2 linked regions of the Oryctolagus cuniculus genome follow. The protein of the gene in region 2 purifies or fractionates together with the protein of the main gene of each other region. This does not show direct contact. Links are inferred from orthologs where the notes say so. Each region holds a gene or a part of one and is shown on either strand. Other genes may lie near its edges.

What was found.
Region 1: the proteins of PPP1R15A (region 2) and EIF2S1 purify together in Homo sapiens (affinity purification with western blotting; 4 studies listed by BioGRID and IntAct, with this or other methods). This does not show direct contact. The link is inferred for Oryctolagus cuniculus from reciprocal best matches to the Homo sapiens genes PPP1R15A and EIF2S1.

Annotation. Positions count from the first base shown.
Region 1 is NC_091451.1:13,211,525-13,216,033, reverse strand, and holds the start of EIF2S1 (eukaryotic translation initiation factor 2 subunit 1), read right to left. Parts: upstream 3,029-4,509; 5' UTR 2,486-3,028; intron 819-2,485; exon of another isoform or gene 1-818. UniProt on the Homo sapiens protein: Member of the eIF2 complex that functions in the early steps of protein synthesis by forming a ternary complex with GTP and initiator tRNA. This complex binds to a 40S ribosomal subunit, followed by mRNA binding to form a 43S pre-initiation complex (43S PIC).
Region 2 is NC_091449.1:8,337,606-8,341,952, forward strand, and holds the start of PPP1R15A (protein phosphatase 1 regulatory subunit 15A), read right to left. Parts: upstream 3,020-4,347; 5' UTR 2,804-3,019; intron 2,220-2,803; 5' UTR 2,211-2,219; coding exon 687-2,210; intron 373-686; coding exon 1-372. UniProt on the Homo sapiens protein: Recruits the serine/threonine-protein phosphatase PPP1CA to prevents excessive phosphorylation of the translation initiation factor eIF-2A/EIF2S1, thereby reversing the shut-off of protein synthesis initiated by stress-inducible kinases and facilitating recovery of cells from stress.

The sequences.
Region 1 (4,509 bases), on a different chromosome or scaffold from region 2:
CCAAGTGCTTGGGTGCCTGCACCTGCATGGGAGACCAGGAGGAAGCACCCGGCTCCTGGCTCCTGATCAGTGTAGCTCCGGCCGTGGCAGCCATTTGGGGGGTGAACCAACGGAGGGAGGACCTTTCTCTCTGTCTCTCTCTCACTAACTCTATCTGTCAAATAAATAAAGAAAAAAATGGAAAGAAAAGGATAATTTTCTTGTAAGGTTTTTTTTTTAAACCTTTTTTTTCCTTAGCTGAAGAGAAATCACATGATTTATCTGGCCCTTTCATCATTTTCATAGCATCTTGCCTTATTTTATTTGGTCTCCAAAAACAATGTTGAGTCAAACAAGTATCACGCGTCATGGTGAAATCTGGGAGCAGCCCTAAATTTGGGTTCCAGTCCTGCGCACCTGCCTCTGAGGTGTGGTTGTCTGGGAAGGTGTCCCTTTTCATCTCTGGTTTCTCCTTTGTGCCATATACTTCACAGATGTGATGGGTCTATCCAATGCAATCAAATGTATGCAACAACATTTTAAAAAGTGTAATGTGTTACACAAACATAAGGTATTAAAAGGCAAAGGAGGGACAGGCATTTAGCCTAACCTTAAAGATGCTAATTAACATGCTTGTGTCCCAGACCAGAATGCTTGGGTTCAATACTTGGCTGATCCAGGCCTTGGGAAGCAGTGGGGATGGCTGGTTATTGGGTTCCTGTCATCCATATGGGAGACCTGGGTTGCCTGGGCCTACTACAAGTCATTTTGGAAATTTAGAGAGTGAAATTAGTGAATGCTTTCTTTCCCTCTCTCTTTAAAAAAAAAAAAAAAAAAAGGCAAAGAAGTATTATTTCCATTTTGTAATTTACTGCATTAATCAATTTTCCCCCCAGTACCTAAGGTGTAAATATGGAGTAGGAAACAAACTAGTAAGCAAATAATTACAATACAGAGTACTAAGAAAGCAGCACAGTGAAGCAATCAATTATCAAAGAATAGAAATATTAAACGTCCTCCTCAAGGACAAATGCTTAATACAGACTAGAGCAGGAGCTAAATGTAAGTCTTCTGACCTTACATTGAGGGCTTCTCAGAGTCTCAGTGTGACAGAGGACAACACTGTTAAGGTGTTCTGATGCAAAAAAATCCATCTTTCAAAATATCTTAACCCAACTCCAAACACCTCACATTGTATGTTTGCCATATGACTTTTTTTAAGTGTTTACTTACTTATTTAACAGGCAGACAGAGATCTCCCATCCACTGGTTTACCCTCTAAACGCCCCAAGGGTCTCCCACAAGGACAGCAGGGACCCAAGTACTTGACCTATCACTTGCTGCCTCCCAGGGTGCCCACGAGCAGAAAAGCTGGAATGCGACAGGGCCAGTGCTTGAATCCACACACTCCAGCACGCGGGAATCCCAGGCAGCATGTTAAACCCCATGCTAGCTGTCTGCCCCAGAGCTGCCTCCTCACACGAGCGCACAGGCAGGCACCGTCCGGGGCACAGGAAGTCGACATTTCTCTGCAGGGTAGGATGTGCTACGTGACGATTCTGTCGGCTCCAGCACTTACTCAGCAGCTGTGCTCTCTCTGAATGCGAGTTCTAGGCACAGGAGTGCCGCACGCTTACCTGCAGCTGATACCGGAAGTCCCACTCAACTGCACAGTCTGAGAATCGGTACCTGTCACTTGACGGGAAGCAAACTGAGGTAGGAAGCTCTATTTAAGTAACCCATGAGAGTCAGTTAGAAGTTCTTTTTTCCCCTTAACTAACAACTCAATAGAGGGGAGAAAAAAACAAATCGAGACGTCTCCGCTGTATTACTTCTCCAAGAAGTGTTCCCTGCTGAACAAAAACTGTATAAGGCAGGCTAAGTTTCAGGGTTACAAGGATTTGGGGTGAATTCGTATTTAAGCTTAGTCTTTCCCTACCTTGAGCTTTTCGTTACGACTAACTGTACGACCAGAATACTACAAAGATCCATCGTTAGCAGGATACTGCAAACCGACAGTAACAGTAAGAGACTCCTGGGTCCCAAGATTTAGTTTCAGTTCGAGTTGTGACTCATCCTACAGAAATGCACAACTAGAGCGAAAAGGCAATAAGGCTACGTTCTCAAAAATCAGATTAATAAGGCACTTTATGGGCCCAGATGTTCTCAACACCTATCCTTAGAGAAGAGATTGGTTTGATTTCAAAAAAAAAAAAAGATGCAAGCTGGGAGCCGGAAAAAGCAGAGCTGGGCGTCCCGGGGGCGGAGGCAGGGTGGCCAGGGCCCCACCTCGGGGGAGCCCCACTTTGGGCATATTGCAGAGGCTGTACAAGCCACTCGGCCCAGGACACAGCCCGAGGGTGGCGGCCGCGGTGTCCACACTTCCCGCGCAGGCACGGGAAAGGGTGGGGGCTTCGGCCCGGGGCCTACCCTCTCTTGACCACACATGTCAGCGGACACAACCCAAAGCGAGATCTTGGAGAAACCGAGCCACGCGGTTAGCGACCTGAAGTATGCGTGTGAATCCCACACCGGGGTCCCGCGTCGCGCCTTCCAATCGCAGAGATCGGACTTGATCCAGCCGCACCAGCCGCCGAACCTCAGCGTGCGCTTCGCTCAACTCCACCGCGCATGCGGAGCCGCCTTGTCCCGCGCAGGCGCCGACAGACTAGCGGCGCTCTTCACAACTGACTATAGAGCGTGGGTCCTCCGAGTACTATGATTCCTAGGAGATCCTGAAAAGCACGTTTTCTCAGGATCTTTAATTTTTGCTAAGTAACTTTCAAGGCCCAGGGACGAGGTGGGACCATAATTCCTTGCCCTTGAGTAGGAATCCTCGCTGTAAGTTTTCGCCAACCATGAGATGGCGCTGTGACCAACGACGTAAAACGGAAGCAGAGACAGAGTGTCCTCTTCTCTCCTTTCTCGCTCCCCCTACCCCGGCGCGTGCTGCGATCTGCGCAGTCGCGGGAGAGTTGGGCTGAGGAGGAGTGTGGGGAGGCGAACCGGAAGTGAGAGGTAGTTCCGCGGTGCGCGCGCCTCCACATCCGGGCATTGCCCTCGTCCAGCACCCCACCCCTCCTCGCCCTGACAACCGGAAGCGGAAGTGAGCGATGGGTATCCTCGCTGCCTCTTAGCAACGCGCGGGGTCATCTGACAGAACCAGCTGACTCCGGTAGAGGAAGGCGCTGGGGCGGCCAGTCCTGGAGCTGTTGCAGCCACGGTTTCCCGGCGGGGTACCGAAGCCAGTCAGCCATCGTCAGAATGTCTGGCAAAGACCGAATTGAAATCTTCCCCTCGCGAATGTAAGTAAAAGGGGGCGGGTGAGCGGTGTTTCATTCTCGTAGGGTCGGGAAAGCCTGCGCGGAGGGTCCTTGTTTCTAGGGCCGACCCAGGTTCTTTTTGAGAGTCGGGGTCCCTCACTTTCCTTCTGAATGAGTCAGGCTGGACAGGAAAACGCGGCCGGACTGCCGATCGTGTGAAGGTCCGCTGTCTTTACTCCCTAATGGAACCGTTCGGTGTTCCGCGAACCCTCACTGGGCCGGGCACTGGATTTACGCAGCGTCGGGGAAGATGCATGTTATGCAAAACTGTGCACGGGATTCAGAAATGCTGTGCACCCAAACACACATCTTTGAATTCAGTTGTCCACCGGCTTTTTTTTTTTTTTTTTTTAATTTCCTAAGTGACTGCACCGTCGCCACCTCTTGCCCTTACAGAACTCAGTTTATAGTGAAGAGAGAGAAAAGGAGGTTTGGTAAACCGGCTCCGAGAAGGCTAGTTGATTGCCATGGGAAGCATACAGAAGAGTTTGGTATATCAGAGCGGGGAGTTGCGCCGGCGTGGGCGCTGGCTTGGATCTTGCAGTGCCATCCTCGTTGACCTAGCGGCCCCTGCTATGGGAACATGGCCCGTGTTTCTGTGCCACTCACCACACTGCCAAGTTTGCATGTCAAACTCTCCCACCAGACGCCCGTGTCTTGATTATGAGCTCACAGAAAGGCCCCAAAGTTCCCCTGGAATCTGCTCACTGGTGGGCCGCCTTTCTCTTTTGGGCAGAACACTTTGTCGGGAGAAACAACTTAGCTCTGCAGGTGTCTGGCCAGTTTGTAAGAAGAGTTGGACATCGCCTGAAATGGGCCTAACAGCTATGGGGAGAGTAAAGCGTTTGCATTTGTGTGCTGCCTCTCTCTCTCTCCCTCCCTCCCTCCCTCTCTCCCTCCTTCCGTTTCCACCTCCCCCTCTCCCTCCCTCCCTCCCTCTTCCTCCCCCCACCCCTCTCCCCCACCTCTCACTCCCCCTCCCTCTCCCCTCCCTCCCCCTCCCTCTCTCTCCCTCCCCACTCTCTCTCTCCCTGTCCCCTCCCCCCTCCCTCCCTTCCTCCCTTCCTCCCTCCTCCCTTCTCCCTCCCTTCCTCCCTCCTCCCTTCTCCCTCCCTCTCTCTTCCTCTTTTTCTCTCTCCCTCCTTCTCCCTCTCTCCCCTCTCTCCCTCCCCCCACCTCTACTGAGGAAGCAGAAAATCAGCTGTGA
Region 2 (4,347 bases):
GCCACGCCTCCCACTGAGGCCCAGGCAGGGAGATGGGGTTTCAGTAGGCAGGGAGGGAGAGGGTGTGGCCACGGCTTGGCACAGGGCCATGGCTTGGACTGGGGACTTGGGAGAGGCGGGGGAGGAAGGCAACGTGTGGGCGGGGGCGAGGATGGGGCCCAGGGAAGAGGGTGGGTTCCTGAGGCGCGCCCAGGCTCTGGCCCGGGGTTCAGGGCTGAGGCAGGGGCCCAGCTCCTCCTGGGCCCGGGCGATGCGGCGGGCAAAGCGGCTCCGATCCCTGGCGAACTGCTCCCAAGGGCCCTTGCGGGCAGCCTGGGCCGGCCCCGCCCACACAGCCAGGAGATGGACGGTGACCTTGTCAGAGAAGCGCACCTGGAGGTGGACAGCACGGCCATGCAAAGACGGGCATCCAGGAGGGGGAGGAGAGAACCAGAGAGCAGTGAGGCAGGACGAATGCCCACCAGAGCAGATCCCCGCGCGGCCGGGTGCCGCAGCTGCTGCCTCTCCCCCCGGGGCCCCGCCTCTCACGCAGCAGTGCGTGACAGCTCTCCCGACAGTGCACACGCAATCCTGTGCAACACGGGCGCCCAGCAGTCCCGGCCGGCAGCCCTCCTCCCCCGCCCAGGCCTTCCCACTCCCAGCCCCCTCCTCCCCGAGCCTCAAGGCCCAGGGCCCTCGGCACCCACCTTTCTGGCCAGGGGAGTCTCAGGGTCCGGACCGCGGGCCGGGGCCTCTGAGACCTTGAGCCGCCTTCGCAGCCGGACGGGCAGCTTAGGAGGAGCCCACGGAGGGGGTGGCTTCTCTCCAGGTAGGTAGACGGCCACTCGGAAGGCAGGGGGCTCAGCTTCTCCATCCTCCTCAGCTGATCCCTCGTCGCTGTCATCGTCTGTGTCCTCTCCTGGCCGATACACCCAGGCCCTCATGAAGGCACTTGTTGCATGGGTGGGAGAGGAAACCTCAGCTTCTCCCCACTCCTCAGCTCCTCCCTCCTCCTCAGCTGATCCCTCGTCGCTGTCATCTTCCGTGTCCTCTCCTGGCCGACACACCCAGGCCCTCACGAAGGCACTTGTTGCACAGGTGGGAGAGGAAACCTCAGCTTCTCCCCACTCCTCAGCTTCTCCATCCTCCTCAGCTGATCCCTCGTCGCTGTCATCGTCCGTGTCCTCTCCTGGCCGACACACCCAGGCCCTCACGAAGGCACTTGTTGCACGGGTGGGAGAGGAAACCTCAGCTTCTCCCCACTCCTCAGCTTCTCCATCCTCCTCAGCTGATCCCTCGTCGCTGTCATCTTCCGTGTCCTCTCCTGGCCGACACACCCAGGCCCTCACCAAGGCACTTGTTGCACGGGTGGGAGAGGAAGCCTCAGCTCCTCCCTCCTCCTCAGCTGCCCTGTCAGCAGGGCCCTCCTCCTCCTCACTGTCTTCTTCCTCTGGGTCCTTGCCGGACTGACTGAGCAGGGGCCTCCGAAGGGGCGCCAGGCAGCGTGGCCCGGGGCCGGCGTCTCCTCTCCCGGCTGCTCCGTGCACCCCTTCCCCTGTCTCCCTGCTTTCCTCTCCTGAACAAGGCTCCCGGGGCCTGGGCTCGGCGCTGGAATCCGAGGCCGGATCGGAGGCCCTCCTGCCTTCCTGGCTTCCTGCTCTTTCCTCCTCCGTGGCTCGGGCCCCGCCGTCCCCTGGGCAGCGCGCCCCTCTGCTGGGCTCGGGTCCTGGAGTCGGGGAACTGGCGGCGCTGGGGGCGTCTCCATCCTCTGTGCGGGGCTCCCCCCCTGACCAGGGATAAGAGACCGGGGCCACGCCCCCTCTCTCCGCTTCCTCCGCCCCAGGGTTCTTATCAGACCCGCGCAGGCTTCCCCCCCACAGGCTGGGGCACAGGGCAGCAGGCTGGCCGGCTGCAAGCTGCCCTCCCTGTTCGACACTGGCTGCCTCTTCGTCATCGTCATCTGCAAGTCCCGGGGCCTCAGGCAGGCAGCCTTTCCGCCTGAGGCAGGGTGTCCTGCCGCTGCCTCCAGCCCCCCAGGGGGCTCCACGGGCGGCCACGGGCGCCTCCAGGCCAGCCTCGACCTGATGTTCCAGCAGCCAGCGCTGCGGAGGTCCTGGGCCTCTCAGGAGGCTCCAGGCCCGGCTGAGGAAGCCCATCAGCGGGGACAGGAGGAAGAAGGGGTGGGCGTCCCCCCAGGGGGCGCCATGATGCGGCACCTGGCCGGGCGCCATCTGTCTGGGCTGGAAAAGGGGGAGAAGGAAAGGAAATAAAGTTGAGGGGCCATTTGGGGCTGGCGCGGGGCGTGACCGTGAGTCAGGCCGCCGGAATTAGCAACAGGCGCAGCTCGGGATTCCTGACGCCGGCCACGCCCCTCTCGCGCTCTGGGGCCCGGCTCGGTCCACCCTTGGGTCCGAGCGTCCAGACCCCCGACCCCTCCTCTCTTCAGACCCAGGAGAACCAAGAACAAAGGCCTTCTCCTCGCTCCCCGTGGGGACGCAGGTCGCTCACCGCCCTGGGCACTGACAAATCAGGCCGCCATCTTTCCCTGGGGGCTCCGTACCTCCCGACACCCCCAGCCCCGCCGCGGCTTCCTTGGGGACCCAAGGGTCTGTCTCGCAGGCTCAAGCTCCAAGACTCCCAACCCTCCCGCCTTCCCAAGCTGCGGGCCCCGGCCCCCTCCTCCACGCCCCGGAGACCCCCACCCCCGGTCCTACCCCGCCCCAGGCCCTGCCTCCCTCAGGACCCGAGCTCGAGTCCCGGCCCCGAACCCTCTAGTCCCGGGAGCCCGGCCCTAGCCCCCAGCTCCCCGGCGCCCCTCGCTCACCGTCTGGGGCCTGCTCGTCACCCCGGAGGCAGGAGCGCCGGCTCGGGCTGCCAGAAGCGATCGTAGGTCCGGACGGCTCGGGAAGCCAGCGCGTTCATCTCGCCCTCAGGCGTGAGGCTCGAGGACACTTGGTCCCACCGGCGGTCGCAAGCGCAGTGGCGGCGAACGGGCGTCTCGCATGTAATCTTCCACGGTGCTGGCTGGCGACTGAGCGGTGGAGCACGGACGCCGCTCGCGGCGCTTTTATAGGCCGGCGCGCTGACGTCACGCGGGGCGGGGCTTCGGGAGCCCGCCTCCGCGGGCGGGGAAGCGAAAAGGGAACCGGGACTTCTCGCGGGGATTCCAGGCCTGTGACGTCACGGCGGCCTTTCCGGACGGGCTGTCCGTCACGCACGTGCCCCTGGCTCAGCTCTGCGCGATGGCTCCCCAGCCCAGCGTAGGCGGCGGGCCCCAGCCTGCGGTCGCTGGCGGACGGGGGTGGCCGTGTCCCCGTTCCACTTGCCCAAGGTGGTCACTGCAGCGTCCAGCCTCCTAGCGGGCAGGCCGGCCCCTGCTCGGCTGTATTCGCGGGGCTGCACTGCACAGTCGGCATTTCGCCTACTGATTTACTGTTCGATGTAACCATGGCCTTAAATATTTTCTTAATAAAGTATTTATTATTTATTTATTTGATAGCGTGAGAGAGAGAGAGAGAGAGAGAGAGCTTCCATCTGCTGGTTCACTCCTTAAATGGCTGCAAGTAGCCAGGACCAAGCCGGGTCAGAACCAGGAGCAAGAAGCTCCACCCAGGTCTCCCCCGAGGCTGGAGGGGCCCTGGGGCCTTCACCTGTCTGCTCAGGTGGGAACTGGATGAGCAGAGCAGCTGGGGCTGGAACCCGCGCTCTGACGTGGGGTTCCGGTTGGCCTTAAAGTGTCTGTATATATTACCTATGTATATTTTTAAAGATTTGTTTATTTTAAAGGTAGAATGACAGAGACAGCTGGAACTAGATCCGGCTGAAGCCAGGAGGCAGGAACTCCCTCGGGTCTCCCATGTGAGGTGTGGGGGGGCCAAGCCCTGGGCCATCACCCTCTGCCTTCCAGGGGGCATTAGCTGAGTGGCCGGCCTCGCACCAGCCCTCTGGTGGGGGTGTGAGTGTCCCAGCCGGCAGCTGAAGCCCCTGCTCCACAACACCTGAAGAAATTACTTTTTAGGGTGCACGTTTTGGTTAGGACTGGGTGACTCCCTCCTGGGAGTGGGAAGCATTTGCTCTGAGCGCCAGGCCCAGGGACACAGAGCCAATCCCCTGTCCCTCTTCCCCTAGCCGGTCCATAACTTTGCTCCCCAAAATGTGCCCCAGCTCCCACCTGGATCAGAGATGGAGATTCGGAGCTGCCCCCTACTTGACCTTGCCCCAGCCAGCGTCTGGAACTGGATCAGGCTGACACCAGGAGCCAGGAACTCCCTCGGGTCTCCCATGTGAGCGGCGGGGACCCAACCCCTGGGGCCATCACCCTCTGCCTTCCAAGGGGCATCCGGGAAATCCAGGCCGCCCCTGTGCCTA